Linked DNA regions of Neurospora crassa OR74A. The protein of the gene in region 1 purifies or fractionates together with the protein of each later gene. This does not show direct contact. Links are inferred from orthologs where the notes say so. Each region holds a gene or a part of one and is shown on either strand. Other genes may lie near its edges. The genes, in order: NCU01674, NCU05959, NCU01907 and NCU08973.

Evidence for each region.
Region 2: the proteins of NCU01674 (region 1) and NCU05959 purify together in Saccharomyces cerevisiae (affinity purification with western blotting; 5 studies listed by BioGRID, with this or other methods). This does not show direct contact. The link is inferred for Neurospora crassa OR74A from reciprocal best matches to the Saccharomyces cerevisiae genes SEC17 and VTI1.
Region 3: the proteins of NCU01674 (region 1) and NCU01907 purify together in Saccharomyces cerevisiae (affinity purification with western blotting; 6 studies listed by BioGRID, with this or other methods). This does not show direct contact. The link is inferred for Neurospora crassa OR74A from reciprocal best matches to the Saccharomyces cerevisiae genes SEC17 and SED5.
Region 4: the proteins of NCU01674 (region 1) and NCU08973 purify together in Saccharomyces cerevisiae (affinity purification with western blotting; 5 studies listed by BioGRID, with this or other methods). This does not show direct contact. The link is inferred for Neurospora crassa OR74A from reciprocal best matches to the Saccharomyces cerevisiae genes SEC17 and YKT6.

Annotation. Positions count from the first base shown.
Region 1 is NC_026502.1:2,741,077-2,746,667, forward strand, and holds NCU01674 (alpha-soluble NSF attachment protein), read right to left. Parts: upstream 3,260-5,591; 5' UTR 2,885-3,259; coding exon 2,852-2,884; intron 2,779-2,851; coding exon 2,655-2,778; intron 2,567-2,654; coding exon 2,260-2,566; intron 2,187-2,259; coding exon 1,772-2,186; 3' UTR 1,440-1,771; downstream 1-1,439. Other genes in the region: NCU01675 (90S preribosome component RRP12), read right to left, coding at 1-1,044, 1,187-1,258; NCU01673 (hypothetical protein), read left to right, coding at 3,888-4,607; NCU01672 (DUF726 domain-containing protein), read right to left, coding at 5,215-5,591. UniProt on the Saccharomyces cerevisiae protein: SNARE complex protein that binds to cis-SNARE complexes on membranes and is required for vesicular transport between the endoplasmic reticulum and the Golgi apparatus and for homotypic vacuole fusion.
Region 2 is NC_026506.1:3,310,500-3,316,057, forward strand, and holds NCU05959 (vesicle transport V-SNARE protein VTI1), read right to left. Parts: upstream 3,004-5,558; 5' UTR 2,687-3,003; coding exon 2,287-2,686; intron 2,211-2,286; coding exon 2,012-2,210; intron 1,936-2,011; coding exon 1,848-1,935; 3' UTR 1,438-1,847; downstream 1-1,437. Other genes in the region: NCU05958 (hypothetical protein), read left to right, coding at 5,521-5,558. UniProt on the Saccharomyces cerevisiae protein: t-SNARE found in various SNARE complexes involved in multiple transport pathways. The composition of the t-SNARE complexes is specific for a limited number of v-SNAREs and therefore allows only the vesicles carrying the matching v-SNARE to fuse.
Region 3 is NC_026501.1:2,072,917-2,079,062, reverse strand, and holds NCU01907 (syntaxin 5), read right to left. Parts: upstream 3,945-6,146; 5' UTR 3,414-3,944; coding exon 3,135-3,413; intron 3,065-3,134; coding exon 2,535-3,064; intron 2,480-2,534; coding exon 2,374-2,479; intron 2,306-2,373; coding exon 2,267-2,305; 3' UTR 1,636-2,266; intron 1,491-1,635; 3' UTR 1,228-1,490; downstream 1-1,227. Other genes in the region: NCU01906 (GCY protein), read right to left, coding at 71-204, 323-350, 499-767, 889-946; NCU01908 (hypothetical protein), read left to right, coding at 5,737-5,783, 5,881-6,146. UniProt on the Saccharomyces cerevisiae protein: Required for vesicular transport between the endoplasmic reticulum and the Golgi complex. Acts as a target organelle soluble NSF attachment protein receptor (t-SNARE).
Region 4 is NC_026503.1:4,095,457-4,101,153, forward strand, and holds NCU08973 (SNARE protein Ykt6), read right to left. Parts: upstream 4,228-5,697; 5' UTR 3,786-4,227; coding exon 3,765-3,785; intron 3,707-3,764; coding exon 3,541-3,706; intron 3,476-3,540; coding exon 3,186-3,475; intron 3,129-3,185; coding exon 3,009-3,128; 3' UTR 2,554-3,008; downstream 1-2,553. Other genes in the region: NCU16686 (hypothetical protein), read right to left, coding at 5,346-5,697.

The DNA.
Region 1 (5,591 bases):
CTCGTCAAAAATCGAAGGCTCAAGGATGGCCTCCTTGGGGACACAGTTGGCCAGGAAGGAGACCAAGCACTCGGACGCCGAAACGCGAATATTCTTGTGCTGGGACTCGAGGTATCCTGCAACCAGAGTGAAAGGATCGACCAGCTCTTGGAAGGTCTCGGCGGGCGAAATCTGACCGGCAACATCGTAGGCTCTCGACAGAATGGCGATCCAGGGAGGGAGAAGCTGGGTATCGTTGGGCGCGGGACGGAGCTCTCTGATGATCTCGAGCAGCCGAGGAAGCTTGGCGGAGGCAACCTCGTCGGCGGCCATGCCCTCGAACATCATCTCGAAGATCTCGAAGACAGCCATGCTCATGTGCTCGTTGCCCGTCCGGGCAATGCTGAGAAGGAGCTCGCACAAAGACTCAATGCTCTTGCTGGGCCAGCCACCGCTTCCAGAGGCGACAGCCTTGACGAGTTGCAAGGCGTGGATAAGCTCGGGATCGTGGGTAGAGTCGGTAGTCTTCTTTTCCTTCCTCTGGGCGGCGGCCTTGTCAGCGACAAGACGGAGGCTCTGCATGGCTGTCTCGGCGCACATGGGGGCGGCGGGGTGGTCGAGAGACGGGCTCGGCGGAGGGTTCTTCAGGATGTTCCTGAGCGCTTCCTGGGCTCTCTTGCGGACTTTGGGACGCGGGTCGAGGGCAAGGGCGAGGAGGCCGGCCACAGCCCGGCGGGGGCCAATCTGGGCGGTACCGAGCTCCCACTGTGTCGCATCTTGAGCAAGGAGCAAGCTCTCGAGAGAGCCGATCGAGGCCCTCATGAGGGGAGCATCGGCATCGGGGAGGGATAGTACTGGCGCGAGGATGGTGATGATCTGAGTGAACTTGGCCTGAAGAATAGGCTTTGGAGCGAAGGGAGTGACGACATCGAGGAGGTAGACGACGGGGGTCGCGAGGTTTTCGTTGTTGAGTAGACTGAGAAGGGCAGCGAAGTAGGCGGTAGGAGTCGCGGGTGTATTGCGCTCCTTGAAGGTGGCCTCGATAGCCTCGAGGACACTGGCAGTCTGTGGCTCAAGTCAGGGTCCATTGTCCACGATGGAGGCGGCCTTGCGACAGGCCACTGCAATGGCAGGCTGGAAGGAAGAGGGTAGGGATGCAGAAGACAAAAGATGGAAAAAGGAGAGATGCATCATGACTCTGGCTTACCTGCTTCTGGCTCTGGAGATTCGGAGACCGAATCTTGTCCAGTTTCTCCTGCAAAGACGGAGAAGAAGCCATCGTGAATGTGATGGAATGGCGCTGGAGTGGGACAATGCAAGCCGCTTCGCAGTGCTGAAATCGATGTCATGAAGAACAGAAAAGTTCGAAAAGTTGTCGCTTATCGGCGCGCACGCCCCACCCGCTGTCATTGATAAGGGTCTGGCGCTAGTCCGAAGCGGCTCCCAACTGTAACTCCAGGGTTAGCTATGGCATCTCATGCTTATAGAGGTACCTATGTTTCGCTTGGGCAGCCATCAAGGTTATGAGATACAACAATTCATGTTGGATCGTACGAACAACGCGTACCCACTAGGAACAAGTTTCTATTGCTTTAAGCCCATCTCTACCCCAGACAGCAGGTTTGTTTGGGTCTTCCGTAAATCACCAAAGCGTCGATGACCGTATTCATGATATGACAGTTCATCCCCCTCCCAACCAGAAAACGCCGGTACGATAACAAAGAAAAGAAAAAGGAAAGAAGGAAACCAGAAAGTGATAAATGGCTGTATATCACAAGTTCCTCCACCCTGTTTATGAAAACTCGTTGTCTGCCTCCTCAAAGTTGTTCTTGATCTGGAGAAGAACAGCCGCCTTCCAGTCATCGAGCCGGCTCATCTTATCGTACGCGGCAAGCTTATCCTGGAACATCTCGAGGTTGTTGTTTGAGGCTGCTTCCAACAAGTCAACCAGGAGTTGGTATTCGCGCTGGCCCGTAAATGATGGGTCCTTCTCGGCATACTTGGTGATGTTACGCTGAGCAGTGACCATATCCTTGGTCGCCAAGGAGCAGAGACCGGCCTTGAGGAAGTACTCCTTGACCGAGTACCTCATCAGGTTGTTGCCGAGTGAAGCCTCCGCAACCTTCTCGAACTTCTCTATAGCGGCGAAAAAGTCGCCCGCGAGGGCAGAGAGGTCGGCCACCTTGAGCCACAGCTTGTTCGCAAGACTACACACAGCTGGTTAGAACGACCTGTTGGACTCGTAACATGGCGCAAAAGCCGTGGGCATTAATCACTTACGCGACAGCACCGTCGTTCTCATACCACTCGGCCGCAGTTGTATAGGCCTTGATAGCCTCTGGCTTATTCTGCAGCTCGTTTTCGTAGACCTCAGCCTGGTTCTCCTTGTGCGACGCAGCTCTCCGGAAGTTCCCCGCCATGGTATACTGCTTGATGGCAACCTCGACGCAGCGCACAGCATTATCCGGGGCATCTTTCCTATAGACCTTGAAGGCGTCCAACATGGCATTCGCCGCATCGTTGGGCTCCTTCAACTTCTCAGTGAAGATCTTGGCAGCTTCCTCGAAACACTTGCCGGCCTCGGTGTCTGGGTAGTGGGCAGAACGTTAGGACTTGCCGCGAGGTTCATATGGCCCGAAAGCGCATCGTGGGTGTTGATGATTGTGATGACGTACTTGACTTCTGCAACCTGAAAGCGTTGGCCGCTTGTATGTACTGATCCGCCGCATTTTGGTACTTGTCTTCCTTGTTTCCGAACAGACCCCAGCCTTTGGACGCGCTCGCGAGGGTCTTCTCTGCCTGGTGTTCGCATTCGGCATCAGCAAGGTGTCGCGAAAGTGTCAGGAGGTGCCAGGAGGGGCAGGTTTCAAACCTCTTGTTGGAGAACGCGCGGATCGACAGCCATGAAGGGCAAGTTATTAGACGGTATATAGATGGGCAAAGTTCTAAGTTGGAGTCGCGTCCGCTGTATGAAGCCGATTGATGGGTGTCCCAATTGTTCGGAATCGGGCGCGCTCGAAGAAGCTCAGGTGTTGGTCGGGATGGTGTCGTGTTGGTGGTTGCAGGAGCCCGAGGTGTTTCGTTGTCTCCCGGGGTAAGGTATGCGGGCATGGGATTGGGGGGTTGGCCGGTACTCGTGCTCCGCCCCCACTTTTTTGGGTCTCGCCAAACTCGCACCAACTAAAGTTGGTGCTCACGACTGCAACGGCCACACCAGCGCAACGGCCAGGTTAGGGTTAGAGGTGCAATTTCGGGCTTGATTTATAGGCCAGAAACATAATCTTTCTAATGTATTGGCTTTTCTAAGCAGAAAAATGCTTCCTATATACGATGTACTTCCCTAATTATACTTATAGTATTTTACTTATCTCAATTGGTTGTTGTGATGAGTTACAAGCTTCTGATATCTTGATGCTGAACTATGCTCACTATGGTGGCCGTTGTGGTGGTGTGGCCGTTGCAGTCGTGAGCACCAACTTTAGTTGGTGCGAGTTTGGCGAGATCCAAAAAAGTGGGGGCGGAGCACGAGTATTGGGGGGATGATCACTTTAGCGGGCTGTGATCGCTGATGCCGGCTCGCCAAGCCCTTGACGCCTGAGCAGGTTCCCTGAGGGCTGGTAGCTTGCCTGACCAAGTGGCCCGGTGGCAGGGGTCTAGCCTTCAACCTACCAAAGCTCAGCTATGACGCCCAATAGGTAGGTACCTCGCAAAGGATGTCTCGTCCTCTTTCATCTCAACCTCTCATATCGCGACATTTTACCAGAGCCTCACCTGAAACCACCCATTAAAGCATCAAATAATCTCCAAGCCACATCATATGCAAACCTCATAGAGCAACGCAAGTCAACATCTCCCTTTCAGCTATACTACCTTGAAAACCGAGGCATTTTCTTCCCATCAAGGCTATCATGACAACAAAAACCATCTGCCGCGCCTGCCACCGCGCAGCTCTTTCAACCTCCTCGGCCCTCTCAGCCTGCTTCAGCTCCAACTCCAGCCAGCCATCAACCCGTGACTTCTCCCGCTCACGATCTTTTACAACCGAAACCTTCCCTCAATTCACCGCCCGCGGCGGCTCCTCCAAACTCCCTCCACCATCACAAATCAGCCCATCAGTCATCCTCTCCACGCCAACCTGGTCCGTCCGCTCTCTTCTTCCTCCATCATCCACACCATCCTCGTCAACCCAACCCGAAGAAAGCGAAATAACCCCCCAAACTCTGCACCACCTCGCCCGCCTCTCCGCCCTCCCCCCGCCCTCCGCCTCCGACCCTGCCTCCACCACCCGCCTCCTCTCGGCTCTGCACTCACACCTGCACTTCGTGCGGGCCATCCAGTCGGTGGATACCACGGATCCGTCAGATCAAGCCAAGGAGCTGGCGCCCTTGAGTTCGATCCGAGATGAGTCTCCGGAGGGACTGGCGGACAGCACAATTGATCTGAAGATGCTTGAAGGGGCGCTGGCGGAGGAGGATATTGTTGGTCATTGCCTGCGGCCGAGGCGGAGAAAGATGGAGGAGCTGAAAGAAAAGAAGAAAAATGAGGCTGAGGATTGGGATGTGTTGGGATCAGCTGAGCAAAAGGTTGGGAGATACTTTGTTGTCAGGAGTGGGAAGAAGGGGGAGTAGATGATCAAGGGGAAAATGGCCGAGATTCGTCTCGCGCGCCCTGGAGAAGGCATAAGGGCTGTGGTCTGCGTGGTCTGACTATATAGGAGGGCTCTGTATCTGCTAACTGATGCCGAACGTGTGGAGAGCCTGGAAGATTTGGAATAGGACGGAAAACCTAATGCGTTGATACAACACGCGGGGCCGGGACTTTCAGGCCTTTCAGGGAACCGCGTCAGATGCCCAGCCTGTCTGTACTGGGAGTTCACGTCTTCCGAGGGGTATTCAAGGGACAAGAATCACTGAGTGAGGGACTACCCGACGCTGTTGCGATGCAAACGCCACACTACAATATTTGATTGCTGTATCATACTAAGTGTGCCCTACCCAGATGATCCACATCGGCCGCCAGAGATTACTCTGGTATAGAAAGCTAACTGAACTGAAGCTAATCCTACAATTATTTAGATAACGTACGAATTCTGTCTCATTTCTTATGAGCCCTGCGTTGCCACCCCCTTGTCGTTGTCATAACATAAACATGAGCAGGAACTTAGGTCCCAAGAAAGCCAAAGTTAAACGTTCACCAATTCCCCCTCCCCTCCTCCCGACGAGTCGAATTCAGCGTTCACCTCTTGTTCTTCTTCCTCATCCGGGTCCTGATAATACCCGGATCATTTTTTGCAGCTTCCTTCGCCTTGTCTATCACCACAATTCCACGCTCGACGGCGTCTCGCTTCTTCTCACGCTCTCGCACCCTTTCTTCTGCGGCTACCATGGCTGCCTCATCTCGGCTAACCTGCTCTTGGTTGATGTCCTCCCAGTTGATGTGCTTTAGGATGCTACCGGCGAGGTACTGGTATCGGAGATGTCCACTGACCTTAGCAGAGACATCAACATTCTCGACACCATCAATACCCTCGATCCGCTGCAAACCTGCAACGCCAAACTGGATGCTGCTCGTCCGATACAAGAAGCCCAACAGGTAATCGTTCTCTGAAAAGA
Region 2 (5,558 bases), on another chromosome or scaffold:
GGCTCCTCTTCTCTTTTTTAAACCGTTTGACGATCTCCAAACAAAAGCGCCCCTGCCAACCTTTGGGAATCTCGAATCCCACCCATCAGTGATGTATCATGTATCATGTATCATATCAAGTCATTGCCCGCCCTACCTACATGTTGACTTTTTTCTTTCTTTCTTTCTGCCCTGTGACATATCTTCTACGCTAGGCCTGCCGAAACGGCCACCACCAGGCATTGGTGGTTGCAACGGTGACATCGTCCCGTTGCTTCAGTTCCCACAGGTGTAGAAGCCCAAAACAACTTGACAACAACAACAACAAAAAAAGAATCGCAACGGACATCGGGGTCCTTCTTGACTCCGTTTCCGACTCACGGCCGGCCGGGCGGGGTTTTTCTGTCTGCTTCAGTTCTCAACTTGAAGTCAACGTGACTGGTGAAGACTGCCACCACGTTGATACGTATGAGAAATTTCATGTCGGCGATCCGAATCCGCATCGATCCGAACCCGCATCGATCCGAATCCGAATCCGAATCCGAGAATTTTGTGTCCTCCGACTTTTTTTTGTGTACTTTGTGAAAATTGTGCAATTTGTGCAACCTGTCCCTCGTTTTCCATCCATCCCGGATGTTCCATCCCTTCAGACTTTCAGCTGGCCCACTGCACTGCAGTCAGTCCCGCTACAGTGGAAGAGAGAGAGAGAAAGAGAGAGAGAGAATCCACAGTGGAGCGAGGCTTTTCTCCGTCGGTGCCCTCGGCTGGCTTCCATGGGACCCGACGACGACGACTCCATACCTACATACCTAAGGAACTCCCCTCGCCAAAAGTCAAGTCCGCTCCGTAAGCGGTTTTGGTGTTTCTGTCTTGTGACTCCATCTTGAAGTGAAGAATTGCAGGTGAAAATGGAGACGAGTGGAAGGCTGCCGGGGAGAGACCGGCGATCTCCATCCAGCTGCAGCTTGAGCTGCGGAACATCAGTCCGGTGGACTTCTTTTTTTTCACCGCCTAAAGTTCAACTGGAGCTGTGGAAGGTCTGAGGGTCCGTTATGTACTGCGTATCTGTGAAAGTGGGGTTATATGCAAATGTTAACAACAACGAAAGTATCTCGAAGAAGATGACTTGACGTGATTTGCAGTGATGCGTGTTTCCATCACATGGAAAATTTCTTAGTCTACTCATTTGTAATAGGCCTGTAGTGTACATGAGTTACCAAGACACAGTTCTTGCTGGGATATACACAGTACACCACGGTTCTTCAGGGTGGCAAAGAAGCTTAATTTGGGCACAAGAAATAGCGACTTTGTCGAAGGCTCGCTCTCTGTTTCTTGTAGAACTACCAAGCTACCAAGTCACATCCCAGCAGAGGTGTGGTGAACGCAAATCATTCAAACAACAGTGGCCAACAGAAAATTTGTTTTAACCAAGGCCCCGGTCAACACCGACCAAAGTCAGGGATACTATGTCTCAGAGGAGAATCATTTGAAATCATAGAGAACGATCCGCTACCCATGTGGCGGCGAGTTGTGGTGGACATGGCGAGCCGTTTTCCCCTGTCGGATGTCGGAACGTCCATGGAAGCAAGGCCGCCGTATGGTCATGAGAAAGAAATACGTCTAAATTTCGAAACCACCTCCCTTTGTGACGCCGTCTGTGTAAAAATACAACCCCCCGTACGATACCATCCCTACGATACGAAAAACATGGAACTGGAACATGTCTCTGTTATAACAAACGCTCCATCGGTACAGTCCAAACCATCCACCACCTGTTCGTATATATCGTGATGTCACTGAACACCCCTGCCTGTTCTACCTGATGTTGTATTGCTTCTTTATGGATTCGCTCAGCTCTCTCGACACAATCACCTGAACTTGCTAACGATAACCGCAATGATAAGGAGGACCAGCACGGTGATGATCGCAATGGTGATTATCCGATTCGTAGCCATCCTAATGGTAAAGGCGCAAGTGGTCAGTATTACCTAATCATCATGATTCGCATTGGGACAAAAGGGGAGGGTGGTACCTGCGTGCCATGCCCTTTAGTGTCTTGACACTTCGGTCCACATAGCCTTCACTCTCGTATAGTATCGTGGTGGTGTGCTCAATGACTTCGCGTTGGCGGTGCAGGTCGGCCAGGGTGCTGGCGCCAATAGCCTCTGTCTCGGCGGCCAGCGCCTGACTGGCCTTGAGGCGTTGTGTGCTCCGATCGAGCCGGTCGGTGCCTTTTACGTTTCGGGGGAAATAGTCAGCATTCCGTTTCTTCTTGCCATGTATAAGGTGCTTCTGTCCACCACCCACCAGATAGCAGCTGCTGCCTCTGCTCAAAATGCCTATCGCCACTCGAAGAGCCCGGGTTATCGGTGTATCTGCCGCCGAACAGGGCGCTGCGGTCCGTCGCCAGCGTCTGCAGCTTGCGACGATACTTGTCCACGTCGCTTCGGTAGTCGCGCAGTCGCTTGTTGATGGCGGTCCGCGACGAGCTGGGCACGTTCTGCTTCTCCATGTTCATCTGGTCCAGCAGCTCGCCGGCCTCCTCCAGGGCGCGCTCGGCCGTGCTGAGGGCGGCTTTCCTGGGCTCGCCCGTCAGCTCCGAGATTTGGTCGAGCTTCTGGACCAGGTCGGCCTGGACCAGCTGGTATTCCGTCTCATAATGCTTGAAGAGCTCTGTGCCGGCTTCGCTGTCGAGAATGTTGGCCATCTTGGATTCAATGGAGTTATGTGTTGCTATCGGATGTGGAGGTTGGGGTTCGGGGCAGGTGTGGGGGTGCTGTCGTCGGGCTGGCCGTATCGGGGTGATGCTCGTTTATCGGCGGGTATCGTTATTCTCAATTATTCAGATTCGTCATTAATCATGCCAAAGAGGGGCGTCGTTGATGCGGTCGCGTTGGACGAGATGTGGTTGGGCTGGCGTGTGGTTGGTCTGATCGCAAGGAGTAGTGGTCGTCGTCGAATGTTGTCTGTCGCCAGCGACACCAGTGTGCTTCGAGCCCCGTTAGTCGTTGCGGTCGTCTCAGCAGCCTGACAAGCGAACTGAAAGGCAGGCAGGCCGCAGGCGGGAGACGACAGCAGCTGTGGGCACGGACCAGCATGGGCACATGACATTCCGCTTGTTACATACAGTTACAGTGGTTACAGTTGCAGCCTAGGCGGGTGACGTACACATGCTTGGCGTTGCCGCATGTATTGCAGTGTTGTTGCAGTACGTGTACGCAAGCGCTGTATGTATTGTTTGCAAAGTGTAACTTACACGGACCGTGTCCAGTTGAACGTATCAACCCCGCCTGGGACTGCCGGGGACTTTGGCGTCTTGAAACTCTTCAATTGGTTTCTTTGTATGACTGAGTTGACCTTTCACCAGCCAGCAACGAATTGAGACCGATGACGACCTAGGGAAGGGAACTGTTTTGGGGGACATATCGCTTAGAAGGTCCAGTCAACGGCCACGTCCCAAGACATGCTAAGATAATATAGTGTACACTGCCTAGACACTGTCACGGCTGCTTGACGCGAACCTTGGCTGGTTTCCCCAGAAAATGGACACATTGCCAGCCTTTTGTTTCTGGTTGGTGTCTTGAATTTTCCAAGTCTTTTTTGGGTTTGTAGTCTGTCGCCACCGATGCTTTGGGAAAATGTTCTCCTGGCAGTCGGGTCGGATTGGTCGGCAATGTTGTTTTGCGGCGCAAATAGTAGGTAGCTGCTCGACATTGCCACGAGATTTGCACCTTCTGTTAAATCATATATATGTCAGCTATGACATTCGGATTTCGTCGCCGACATCAAAACACCAGGACTGCTCATGGCCATCTGGTCCGGCCTCGTGGCACACACTTACTTACACACATACACGCACTCATACACTCTCTCTGTTGCTCGTCGTCCAGCAACACCAGGCTTCAGCCCAGCGATACCGACCCGTCTGACTAAACCTCCACCACAAAACATCCATCACCAACGGACAAATCAGCGACCCCGGTCACAATTCGAGAATTCGCTGCGAGGTTCTTCATTCGAAGGTTTGTCAGGCTGATCCACTCTCGGCACGCCATAGGATTCGCTGGAATACATCATCGCTTGGCTAGTGGAGAGTGTTGGCGACATTCACCAGGATCGAGTTACGTACCGCCGCCGCCGCCGCCGAAGGAAAAAGCCCACGCCAACGTCCGACGGTTTTGACACATCGGCGGCCGATTTCAGCGACTCACCGTTGCCGGCGTCCACCGTCATCCACCATCGGCACCGAATTGGCCCCATCTTTTTTAATTTGGCCAGGCTAGCTCAGGGCTTGGCCAGTCCCCTGCCCGCTTACCTTTACCAGGATCTAGCAGGATCTGCCGTGCGCTTCCGCCGTCGCTTTTTTTCTTCTTTGGGCGCCGCGGGTGTCGTGACCGGCCACTGGCACAGCAACACCACCGTTTCCAAACCTCTTGGAGCTCCTCGCAGCTCGGCCACGGCTTGGACCCCGTCAGTCAGAGGGGTGAGGCCAAGACACGGTGACAGTCGGACGCCAATTGGTCATCCACTTTGTTGGTGCTCCCTCCCCTGCCACTCCGAGTCTGCCCAGGTCCCCCTTGATTTGTTTGGTTTCTCTCTTGACATCCTTCCACACACCACAACAACGTCCGAGGCTTTGCTTCTCTTCGGGCTCCTCAAGAACTCCAGAGGCTCCGGTAGCCCAGGGTCTTATTTTTCTCCAGCTCCTCACCTTATCCATCCGGAACAGCTAATTAATTCAAAACATCATCAGGGCCTTCCTTGTCTTCTTCTCTTCCGTGCTGTCTCCACGTTCCTGGTGTCTCCCAAGGTGTATCTCCTGTTGATCTGGAATCCTGTTTTTGTTTCTTTCCCTTCCATCTTTCGCGACTGTTCTGTTTTCTCCGATACGACGCCACCGGACCGCCGTGGTAGACCTCTCATATAACGTTCCATCACCCCCTTGCTTCACCACGTTCTTAGCTCTTACGCCCTCATCACCACTGGCCAACTGTTCGTTAGGCAACCGCATTTCGACCTGCAACTTTGTATACAACCATTCATCGATGTGAAGGCCAGCTCATCAGCCAGGGCGCTCCAGTGTTCAGTTGAGACGGAGAGGAACGGTTTCGCTTTCGTCGGATTGCGCCAGAGCCAGAGTCCACTATTGACCGTTGAGTTGATTCAGTGTTTCCGTGTTTCGGGATTTGCGCATGTGGCAGTGCTTTGAGAGCAGGGGGATATAGCTGGGGATCATTCTCACTCGGCTTCCGGGTTCCGAATATCGAGAGTTTATATAAGAGGGGGGACGGCCAAAGGCGCACCAACACCTACCTACTTACCATCGCGGCTGGTTCCGTTGAGACGGACTCGGCAACGGCTTACACATTCGACCCTTCCTCATACGGCACTGCAGTTCCTTCCATATCATACCTCTACACACCCCTGCGCACTTGCCTACTACGATCTCACCTCACTTAGCAATTTCCTCCCTTGCCATATACACATCCTGTCGACCCCAAGCGGAAAGGGCCTCCGGGGCCCTAGGGGTACCTCACCACCATGTTTCTTCACGCAGGCGCCAGTATGCACGGTCACGA
Region 3 (6,146 bases), on another chromosome or scaffold:
AAGAAGGGACGGGATGGCTAAAGGCTGAGCAGGGTTGGGCAAGGAAGGTCATGAGAATAGAAACGCATACGTTGGAAACACCAATAGCCTTGGTCCTGCCGGACCCTACCAGCTTCTCCATGTTCTTCCAGATCTGGACGTGGCTGTAGTCGCGGAGAATGTCGCGCTCGCCGTTGGGAAGCTTGGGGAATCTGTCATCGTTGCCTATGTGTTGTAGTCGGTTCGTCAGTCCACTAAGCAGCGACCTTGGTCTTTTTTTCTTTCTTTTTTCTTTTTGTTCTCTCTCTTCTTCTTTTTTCGTATGCCCACTCAACGAACTCACCTTCAGGATTCATCAAAAGCGGCCAATGCTGTTATAGCCCAAGTCGCCATTCGTTAGCACCTTCCTCAACACCTTTCTCTTTAAATTCCACCCCCACTTTGACACAACCCCCTAACCCCCCCAAGCAAAGCAGCTCACAATAGCGAGAGGAAAAACTGAAGACTGAGACAACATACCACCAAAAACAAATCAACATACTCCAAACCCAGATTCCTCAAACTCTTTTCTAGCCCCTCCTCCGCACGGCTCGTGTACGTCGCCCATAGCTTAGTTACGACAAACACATCCTCGCGCTTGACGATACCCTGATCAAACGCCTCTTTCAGGCCGGCACCGACATGCTCCTCGTTGCCGTAGCAGTAAGCCGTGTCGATGAGGCGGTATCCAGATTTGAGGGCAGCGACGACGGCGTCTTTTACCTGGGTGGATTCGCCTTGCCAGGTGCCTATTGAAGGAGGGGGAGGGGATGGGTTAGCTGCGTGCGAGGGGTGGAAGGGGGGTGTTGTGTGTTTAAGAGGGGAAGGGGACCTGAACTGGTGACAATGGAGAACAAACGGGAAACTCACCAAGTCCCAGCGCGGGAATGTTAGCTCCGGTGTTGAGCTTGAAGGTTTTGGTGGCCATGATGGTTTTTTGATGGTGGTGCTGGTGGTGAGGTATCTGGTTTTGTTTCCAACTACGAAAGATTCTGATGTTGCTGCTGTTGGCAAGCTTCAAAGAAGGAGTATGGGGAGTGAACAAGACAAGAAACGGCTGATTTTACACGGAGAATCCAGCTTTTGGGGTCGACTAGAAGCTATGATATCAAGATTGAGAGTGGAAAGGAAAGACAGAGGAGGATTGACCAGTTATATCAAGTTACGTTCGAGGAGAAGGTTGTCCAGGGTTTGAGCCACACTGGACATTCGGCTAAATGGCAATCGGCGTTAGAGCGTGGGGGATAGTTATGGTGTTATCGATTCCGAGAAAGCTACATGTTTGTAATGATTCTTTTTCTTCATGTTGTCTGTACCTGACTAGGTAATCATGAGACCTGAAATTCCGACTGTAATTATTCATGGACAGCGTGGATGGAAGTAACAACGGAACATCGACACGCCATTGTGTAACTCGAACATCGTGAACTTGGGTTTGAGGCGTCCAGAAATACGGCACTCGGGGCTTCTGTCTTTTCGTGTTTAGTCAGTACTCGATGGCATTCGGCGTTTCGTTAAGATATCAGACAGTACTTCGAAGGTGGGATATCGACAACCTCGCCAAAGATAGCCCCAGCAACAAACATCCGGTCAATGGAACGGATGGCATCCTCTCACCTTACCCCGCGAAACTTGGCTGAATCTAACAAGGGCCTCGGCGGAACGATTGCCCCTCTGTCGGAATGAGACCTTGCTGTGGTGTCGGTCCGCTCTACTATAGATAGTGGTAACAGTGAGTGGCCGAGTGGATCCGTCGTGTTCGCTTGCTCTGGGTTTCTTTCTGGGGCTCGAGCGGAGAGCATTAGTTCCAGGTACCGAAGCTGAGTGGAACTGAAATGATTACAGTTGCAGGAACTGGGGGCGTGGAGTGCTTAGTCTAAACCTGTTCCTCTATTGGTGGCATTTAGCGTAAGCGAATTCCGTCGGTTAAGTATTTGTTGACCTTAGATGAACCGAGAGCGAACTTTGAGTCTTGATCCCTATGCTGAAGCCAACTTCCTCGGCAAGTAGGTATAAATAATCAAATGCCCCCACCGACCATCCAGAGGTATACCTGAGCTCTATCAGCCTTGCAAGAGGTTATGTTGTGGAACAGTGAAAGGACATGGAAGAGCGCATGCAAAAAAAGAACCGCATCTTCATGAGGAAGAGAAATTGTATAATTAATGCATAAAGTCTACAAGAGACGCCTCTGCATGCATTATAAAGAAGAAGTATAATATTACTGAAACGCCGCCACAACTGCCGTCTACCCGGCAATTAATACCCAGAGAAGGAAGAAAATCATCTACAAAGTCGCACAGCGTTAGAGTTTTATGCAGGGCATAGGTAACAGAGCAGGAATACTGGGCTTACCAAAACACCAAACATCTTGGCTAAGAGCCATCTATTACTTGAAACACGGCTCCAATATTTGAGCAGTTCTTTTTGCGCGCCTTCGACGTTCTCTACCACGTCCTCTCTGCATGGTGTGTTAGTACAGTGCTGGTGTGTCGAGCGTCTCGAGACAAACCTACGTGTTGGCATCAATTCTTTGTATCATCTCAGATTGTTCGCTGACCATGGCCGCGAGCTGCCCAAAAATGGAACCCAGCTCATTGATAGTCGACTCGATGGCCTCGATCGCTTGCCCTCGTTGTTGGACGTAGGTGTTTTGGCCTTCCTCCAACATCTGGAGCTGCATCTGCTGATCTCCCATCGGGTTCAGCGAGATCAGATCTTGCTGCCCTGGTGCTGGCGTTCCCCTACTAGGCGTGCCGTACAGAGGTGACGCAGATTGTTGCAAGGAAGCATGTGCGTGCTGACCTACTGACGAGACAAAGTTCTCGGTCCTCGACCGCGACGCCTGAATGTTCTTGGTTCTGATTTCGAGCACGTCCTTGAAATTAGCACCAACATCTCCCAGCTTGCCCTGTAGGAGCAGGAGAATGTTTTTGTTGTTCTCCCCTTCTTGGTCGGGCTTCGGGTGCAGACGTCTAGAGAGATCTTGCAGGTTCCTGATCTTCTCGTTCAACGAAGACAGGTCTTGCTTGATGACAAAGGTCAACTAACATAATGGTTAGCCAGCCAGTTATGGAGTCGAGGCGCGCAAAGATCAAGCGCATGACCCAGCTTACCTCGTTGATTTCGACCGGCCTGTCATCGAAAAGAGTCTTCTTCTTGGCCAGCTGTGCTAGCTTTTCCAGCTTGGCCATTGTCGCAGAGATACCCCTTCCAATCTCTGCAGCCCCCCTCGCAAACTCAGACCTTCTGGGCTGGGCATCGCTGCTGGCAGCATGTTGTTGAGCGGTGTCCAGAAGTCGCTGCTTTCCTGGCTTTGTGGCCTGCCTACGCTGGGCAGCCGCAACAATCTGTCGGAACTCTTCCGTTCGGTCGTTGATGGCAAAGACAGCCATAATTAGAGGTGTATCGGTATATGCTGAGGCGGTAGTCCGTCCGTTTCCAACAGCTAATCGCGGGGAATGGGTCGTAGAGGGGCGCGTGTACCCCTGAGCAACCGGCACGCGGTTAAGTCGTAATCAATAACACGTCGGAGTTCGTAAGTCAGGAATCGAGACGTCGTCAACTTTGTCAATCGTGACCGGGGGCGAATGCGACTCGTAGGCTGCGAGTTTGCGGAGGAGATTATGGATTGGCAAAGTGGAAATGGGCGGATCCGGGGGATGCGGCGGGAGCGAGGCTAATTCGCGACTGGCGAGGAGGTCGGCGGCTGGTCGTGGGTGTGTTGATTGAAGGTCGTATTTATGAAAGGCGCTACACGATGGACTCGCGATGACGTATGAATGAGTGGCGGTGTTATAAGTTCGTCGTCGTGGTCGTGGTCGTCGCCGTCGTCGAGTCAAATGGTTGGTGTCGTGGTCGTCGAGGTTGAACAAGCTCCTCCGTTGTTGTCATCAGCGACGGGAGTTCGATAAAGGGAAAACGTGGTTACTTTACTTACATAGTTTCAGGAGGGCCCGTGACGCTGCAGTGTGTGGCTCGGCCCCTGCAGTTGAGTAAGAAAAGCTCACAGTGCAAAAATCCAAAGCTGACTGACCAAGACACTGTTGTTAAGCATTCAGTTAAGCTAGACTCGCTAGTAGTACATTTGATTGGACATCAGCCCAGTCTTTTTAAAGAATCAACTTCCCGATCAACCTTGAAGTCGATAACACCTCGGCACTGCAACTCAATGTTCTTTCACATTGTATTTTTTTGCCACTCTTTGGAATAGTATGGTTGCCCCCACACTCAGACCCAAAAGCCCAAGAATGGGAGATGAATTTCTGGTTATCCGAGCCAAAGGTGTGAGATGTGACTAGAGGTATGTCATTTTTACATGATGGGGTCACGTCTGTCAGAATGGGAAGACGCTTCGTTGAATGCCCCTGGCCTCTGGGTTACTGCGTTTCTGACCCACTGCGGCCCATGGATTTGGGGTACTACCTCTAGTACATGAATGAACGTCAGGCCGGGCGCTTGGAGCTGAGCGGTACCAGAAACTCAAGGCCTGTCACTGCAGCGCCAGCAAGGGTGGAACGCCATTAGCATCGATCGAGGCGCAACCAAAGTAGGTAGCTAAGAATTACCTCTAAGTAGATACTCTAAAAACGGATGAAATCCGGGGTATCATTTCTAGAGCCATTGTGACTGCCTTTGAACTAGGGCTTCACAAAACCAAACAACTTGCAGCACTTCTAATTCTCATTCAAATGGGATTTTCCCCCCTTTCCTGGCGAGTTATGTGGTTTGCTGAGGCCTGAATGCCCCGTAGAAGCGTCGCCGTGAAGGCCTCTCTCTCCAGATACCTATACTTGACTAAAGAATTGAATGCAAATTATCAGTACTTTCCCCTTGTGTAGTGAGTTCGTAAACCTAAAAGAAGCTTCCCTTCGGCTTCACCTCACCTACCTCTACCCAAGAGGTCTACGAATACCTTACATATTCCGAAAATGTAGAGCCACAGGTTTCTCTAACTGCATCCGCGGCCGAGTGCGGTGGCATTCAGTTAGTGCCTTACAGAGTGGAGAGTCTAATAGCCTGTCTCATTAAAGCTCGCCCCACGTCCGCCTGACGTTCCAATGCTGCCCTGGGCTGCTGATCCCTGCCGCGGTCCCGGACCATAATCTTCAACAACGAGAGGAAAGAGCAGGGAGCATGAATGGATGCAGTGTCATCTGGTCAACTGCCAGCGCAAGTCCAACATTTCAGTTTCACGTCCCAATGTCCGTCTTCGCGATTTCAGTCTCCCTTCTAATCCTTCCTCCATCCTCGTATCCAACCGTTTCCCGCCCTCGAACTTTCTTTGGCGACTCTTCCGTCACACATTTACGCATCCATTTTCCCTTCTGGTTACCAGTATATTGCGCTACTTTCAACTAATTAATCGGCCCGCCAACCGACCAGACATTCACTACCACCAACCTAATCTTCGCCATTTGCCTTGCCTTTTTCTCCGCGTTCCTTCAGTCATACTTTCACATCGGACAGGCCGTAGACACCTTCGACGCCACGGATACACATCTTCGGAATTGCTTATCGGATACTCAGAATCTGGCCCGCAATACATTACGGGATACTCCAGGCTGCAGAAGGCTACCCTTACTTGAGAATTGTCTGACATCCGATTTCGGTTCTATTTCCTTCATTCGACTCGACAGCGCTACTCTGTCGCCTGCTTGTACATATCGGCGCATGCCACAACGACGCTCATCGCCATAAACACTAACGGTCAATGCAATGGACGGGACATACGGGAATATCTACCCGACAAACAACAACCCACTGTCAGTTGCCCTGCTTCTAGCCTCCCCCTTTCCGTAATGCCCGAGCAGGTCGCTTCTCAGCCCGCAGTCGCTAAAGGCCGTCCGACACCACACACAGAAACCCCCGCGCTCCGGATTCGAACAACAAATACCAAATCAACGTCAACCGCTCAAAGACGCGAAAATGGGCCAACTTCAAGCCACAGAACTACGACGGCGATGATTGGGGAAGCGAGGAATATGACGATGTTGACTCGGAACGTCCACCAGCCCCTCCGCAGCCCGCCAAGCAGTACCAGCCATATACACCAGCATTGCATCTACAAACTCAGCAAACGCCAGCTGCTCCCTCGGGCCGTATCGCTCAGATGGTAGCGGCCTCTT
Region 4 (5,697 bases), on another chromosome or scaffold:
TTTGTATATATGATAATTACGAAGATACAGTCGGTACTTTCGGCTTAAGGAAAGTGGAGTATGCACGGACCAGTCTAATGCCCCTAATTACCATGCCCCTATTGGATTCTCTCTTGGGCAGGGAATAAATGCGAGACATTTCCAAACAGAATCCAAGTCGAGCTAATCAGCTCGTCGCGATAACCTTCAGGTGAGGTTGACGAATCAGGTCGTGAGGCACAAAGAACCCCGCTTATGTACATGTGCCATGGCTTGCCAAAGCATGCTTTTGATGTTCAACGCTTGATGCAAATGCACCTCTGCCATGTTCATCATGTCTTGTCATTGAGTTTTCGACTTTTTGCATTCTCGTTTCTCCTAACTCTTTCTTCTTTGTCGCATGGAAACGCGGCATGTCGTAACGTGGAAACGACATGGAAGAGATGTAGTGATGTATGGTATCGTTACGAGCATTTCCTACAGTCCCGATTCTGTGCATCTTCACCAGCCCACATCAGCAATTATGCACCCTAGTGTACATAGTACGGCTTTGAGTGGTAATTGGTGGGTGAATGCTTATCCTCACCGAAGGTGGTGCTAAACACAAAGAAGACAGACGGGCTCACCACGAAAGCAGTGGTCGTGCATGTACATAGTACTGTGTTTTGGCACCACTTGGTAGATCAGGCCGTGGGAGGCTAGCTGGCCACACACACAACCTCTCCCTCCCTCTCGAAAAGGACACCCACTTCCATCTCATCATGCCAGAGCCTCTTCCCCTCCTCATCCCCTCCTCAGTGTCGACCGTACCACCTGGAAGCTAAGAAAAAAAAGAAAGAAAAAAAAGAGAGAACACCACAACACTCACCTCCTGCCCCTCTACCCCTCCGTAAAACCAAGGAACTAATGCACTGCAACGGCGGGAGTGATGAGAAAGCGAAGTGAGATGAGACATTTCATTCTCCCCCTCTCACTTGGAAACAAAAAATGAAGGGGAAAAAAAAAAAGCCTAGCGGTTGCCGTAGCCGTTTGTGCTTGGCCTGCTCTGTCTGTCCATCCCTTGTCACTTTTGACGTTCGGGATGGCTTGTTCTTGGAGGAGGAAGGTGCCGTCCAACCAGAATTGAGCTGACTGACTGACTGCATCAATTGCCTTCCACTCTTCCGGGGAATACCTGGCAGAAGGGTGACAATCAAGATCTCGTACGACACTTTCATGGATCCTCGGACGGGAGGACGGGCGGTGAGCCCGGTCCTTTTATTCCCCCCAAAACACCCTTGGCCTTCTACTATAAACTTGTGGGACCAGTTCCTGGTGTTCTGAACACAACTGTGAACCTGTTTGCGTTTCTGGCAAGACGGCACATGTCGTTGAGCCTCACTTCGTTGACCTTGCCCAGGACAGGATTGATGAACCCAGAACAAATACCAAACTCGACCGAAACACCACGAAAACGAACGAATATCTATTTATCCTGAATCACAATGTTTTCATTCGAATCCTTCTTTGTTTTGGGGCTTCAACGCCTAGTAAGGGCACTCTCTAAACCTGTGCAGTCCTGCAGTATGCAGCTGTCAGAACTGGACTCGGGTTTCATTAAATTCAGTCCTAAACGCATGGCCTTTTAGAGTTGCTTCCAATTTATGGCACCATGCATGAAAACGAATGTCAGTTCCGCGGAAAAAAGGCCATGATAACACTGCCTGTTATATGTACGTATGTGCGTATGATGTATGCACCTGATTTATCTTTTCCCCAACATCTTTGGAAAATGAACGACGGTGTAAAATGTCTCGGGAGCAGGTGTGTAGTGTACATATGCATGTTCCTATCTCTGCCCAGTCAACTGGGTCCCGGCAATGGGTTTGTTTAGGGTTCGATTGGTGTCAAATAAAGCCCAGCCCAATACAATGAGTTTTACGCCGTATATGTAGCAGTTCTCACTTGTGACATATTCTCTACCTTGACTATAGATGTTCTCGACATGTCAGTCACCTACAAAGACCCCCAATGATGATCCCATGAATTCTAATATGATCTTTGCCGTAAGCCGAATCCCCATTCATTTGAAGCAAAGGCGCGACATCAGGTAGGAGCGCCTCTGCCACCCCGCACATTTACAGTCTCAGTTTCCTATGATGTTGTTCGAACCCCAGCTTGCATCCAACGTCTGTAGTGCACATGAGTAGACGCCGACGGAGCCGATATAAGATCGGCATGGAGGAAGATCCGTACGCAATGCCGCCATCATCGATCAGCTCAATTGATGCTGCTGCGTAGTCTTGTAGTTTGAATCTCAACGTTTCCATTCATATCTTCAAAAGAGTCTTTTTGGCTGGGCTAGCTTGAGAGGGATAACAACCCCTAGAATATACCATAGTGTACATTAGTTACGACTCGCACAGTTTACGCCACTACGGCGTGGCGGACAAGGTCGTCATCACTGCAACCGAATGTCGTGACTGGGGAACCCGACCGCTTCGCTTGTGTCGGCCCATCACATAATCTTTGAGGGCGGATGTCGTATGAAACTAACGGGTATGCAAGAAACGGAGCGAAGATCTCTCAGATAAGTGCGCAGCCTCGGGTTCGACACATAACAAATCTATAACAGGACTACCTACATCTGGTAGTCGAAGTATGTATTTCACAGCTTTAGCGCCAAACAGTGGTCAATCTTTCACAGTTTCGGGTATGTACCACACAACAATGAATATGAGAAAGGGTATATTGCAGGTTGAATTAGAAGTTTAGCATTCTCAGAGCCCACGAAGCCGTCAAGGTAAGTGGCTTTCACATATCCAAAGCGGCTACTGTAAGGCCCTCTGTCGTCAGTAGCCAAACTGCAACCTGCGCGGAAACCAAAAGCTGAATTAGAAGAGACCCCCACCAGTGCCTCGAAGACAACGAGGGGTCAGTCGCTCTTTGTATTTGGGTAGGGGGAACGTTGCGGTCGATGGCATATATCAGTGCGGCTGACTAAAAGCGAAGACAGTCGCGCGTGGTTGGTTGGTATTGATGAACGATCTTTACATAACCAGGCAGCACGAGTTCTGCTTCTTCGCACTCTGGTAGAACATCTTGCTCTGCGCACTCAGGTCGGAACTCTTGGCAACCAGGTCGTCGAGCTTCTCGCCTCGTTGCAAAACCTAAAACTAGGTTAGCATGTTATATAGAGCATTGCTACCCTCTGTGAATGGACATACGCTATCAATTGCCTTGTGTAGGACGATCTTGGTCTCGTCGAGCTCTTGCTGGATCTTTGCAATGCTGCTCGCGTTGTTGGCATCTTGGTAGTCGCGAAGGTACTGCTCGATGGCCGGGAAAGGGATGTCGCCGTCGTTCTTGGCGGCGTTTATCGTGGCAACCGGCTTCTCCGAGAGAAACTGGTCCATGAGCTTGGAAAGGACACTGTGGGCGGCGATAGGAGGGTAGTCCTTGGTGATGACGACACCGCAAACACCCTCGGAGCGGGCATAGGCGTGGATAATATAATCTGTTCGGACACCACCTAGTCAGCTAGGCACATGTATGCGAGCAGAGAGTTCACCATAGACGCACCTTGCTCCTCAACACTTTGCCTCTGGCCAGGCTTCGTCCTCTCTGCGACAGTCCTGCTGATCATGGTCATGAAGTTCTTGTATTGGTCTCGTGTGAACCTGGAGAAGTCGCTAAGCTCGTGGGCACCGCAGAGCTGCACCGCAGGCTGCTCGGTGTTTTTGTAGATCTTGTTCGCGGTCAGCAGGTACCTTCTTGTACCCCCTATGAAAGCAGCCGTATCTTACACCAATGTAGTAGAGCTTCATGGTAGCGGTATTTGAAACGTCCCCGAGGTTTTGTTGTGGTCGTGTTTCAGAGCTTTGGCGCAAATCAGGCGAGTATCGCTGTTGATGGTTCCTGACTGTACACGATGATGTTGATGTCTCGCGTTGGGATAGAGAGAGCCGATGTGATGGCGTGGGGAGCAATGAGGTCTGGAATTGCCGAATCGTAGGGTTCGTCGTTAGATTAGGTTAATGGATTGTAAGTTGCGATGGTTTGGTCAAGGAAGCGCGTCGCTGTGTCGGTCGTGGTTCGGGCTCGACGATTGTCGATGGATTAGGGGGAGGGGTTTGATAGACGACGCGCGATCGATGGCGGCAATGGCGATGCGATGAGGTATCGATGGAATCAAGCTGTTGTTCGAGGCTGAATGGCGATGTGTCGAAGCCAACCACAGCCGTCCGCTTCTTGTTGGGCCAGGCCATCGAGACCCATGCCCTCTGGGCTGGAACAGCACCGTCAGGCGGGCGTCGGCCAAACACCGCCCCGCTAGCACATGTTAGTGCCAATGCTACTATAGGAAGACCTTGTCCTAACACGGGCTCTTGTTGCATCTCCGTGTCCTTTCATTTGCTTTTTGTTCAACCATGATTGACATGTGCAATGACGACTAAGACGACTACTCAGATCCCTACAATCGCACTTGTCAAGAACATCTTCCTGGAACATTGAACAAAAGTTTCCAAGGGGACGGACTGATGATGTGGAAGGTGATTAGAAAGCACAAACAGAACAAGCGGAACGCCGGCCCATGCTTCTAACGAGGTTTCCTGAAGCGAAAAAAGGGTCTTTGGTGTACAGTGTTCACCCGCGAAGCGAATATGTTTGACATGCACTCTGCTCCGAGTCTGGAAGGGATCGCGGACCTCTCAACGAGTATTACCCCTATGAGGCACATAGTATATGATTCCACGACTACCCAGTATAAAATACTATGGAGCAAAACTCCTTCGAGTCAGACGGATGGGATCGATGCCTTGAATGACCTTTTCGAGAACAAAGTCATCGATCCTCTCCACCAGGTCCGGATATTACACCGCGCGGATTTCCACCTCGTGTCGGATCTCGAAGCCTTTCGGGTACATATCATTCATGGTCGCACAAATGTAACTACACACATATGACCATCGAACCGCCTTGCCCACGCGTCTGTACATCACCAATAATGTAAAGCTGGACATGAACTTCTGGCCGAGAGATCGTCAGACTGGTGAAGCTAGAAGTCTTCCTACCAAAAGTTGACCTTGATGGAACAACAACCATCAAGACCCGTAGTCGTAGTGTATGTAATGACGAGGAGATGGCTCAAAGAGGAAAACCAAGCCGTAGTGTAGTGTACTATGTAGTGTAGTGTCGTGTAGACAAGCCTAGGAAAGAGACAGGGGGGGTTCGTGAAGTGGCCGGCACATGCGTCGGTTCCTCCTTCCACCTACACTACACCAGATTTGGACGCCGGCGATGCCTGTGGTGCTCCACCGCTTTTTGCACCGATTAGGACAAGCCCAGTGAGCTGTGGCTCTTCGCCATTCGTTTCCCCAGCGATCTCACTCTGCCGTCGCGGTGCCGTTCGCTTGTGAGATGGAAGAGGAACGGGCGGGATGCTGGGGGACGTTGGGACGGCGACGAAGCGCAGTGGACACTAGACTCTCTGCAGTGGGTTCGCAGTGCAGTGGGTGGGTGGACCCGCTGCTGCAGACCAGGGCCGAGCCAATCCCATTGGCTTTAAAGGCAAGTCCAGGGTGCAACGTCTTGCCGGGCAGTCGGGCGTAACCTGGACAGGAACCATCGTTCGCTCTTGGCTCGCTTGGCTCGCACTCGTCTGCTCCGTTGATTGACGAAGTCGACCTTCCCGACGCGACCTCGTCCCCCCTGGTCAGCTTCTCGAGCCTCGCCCAC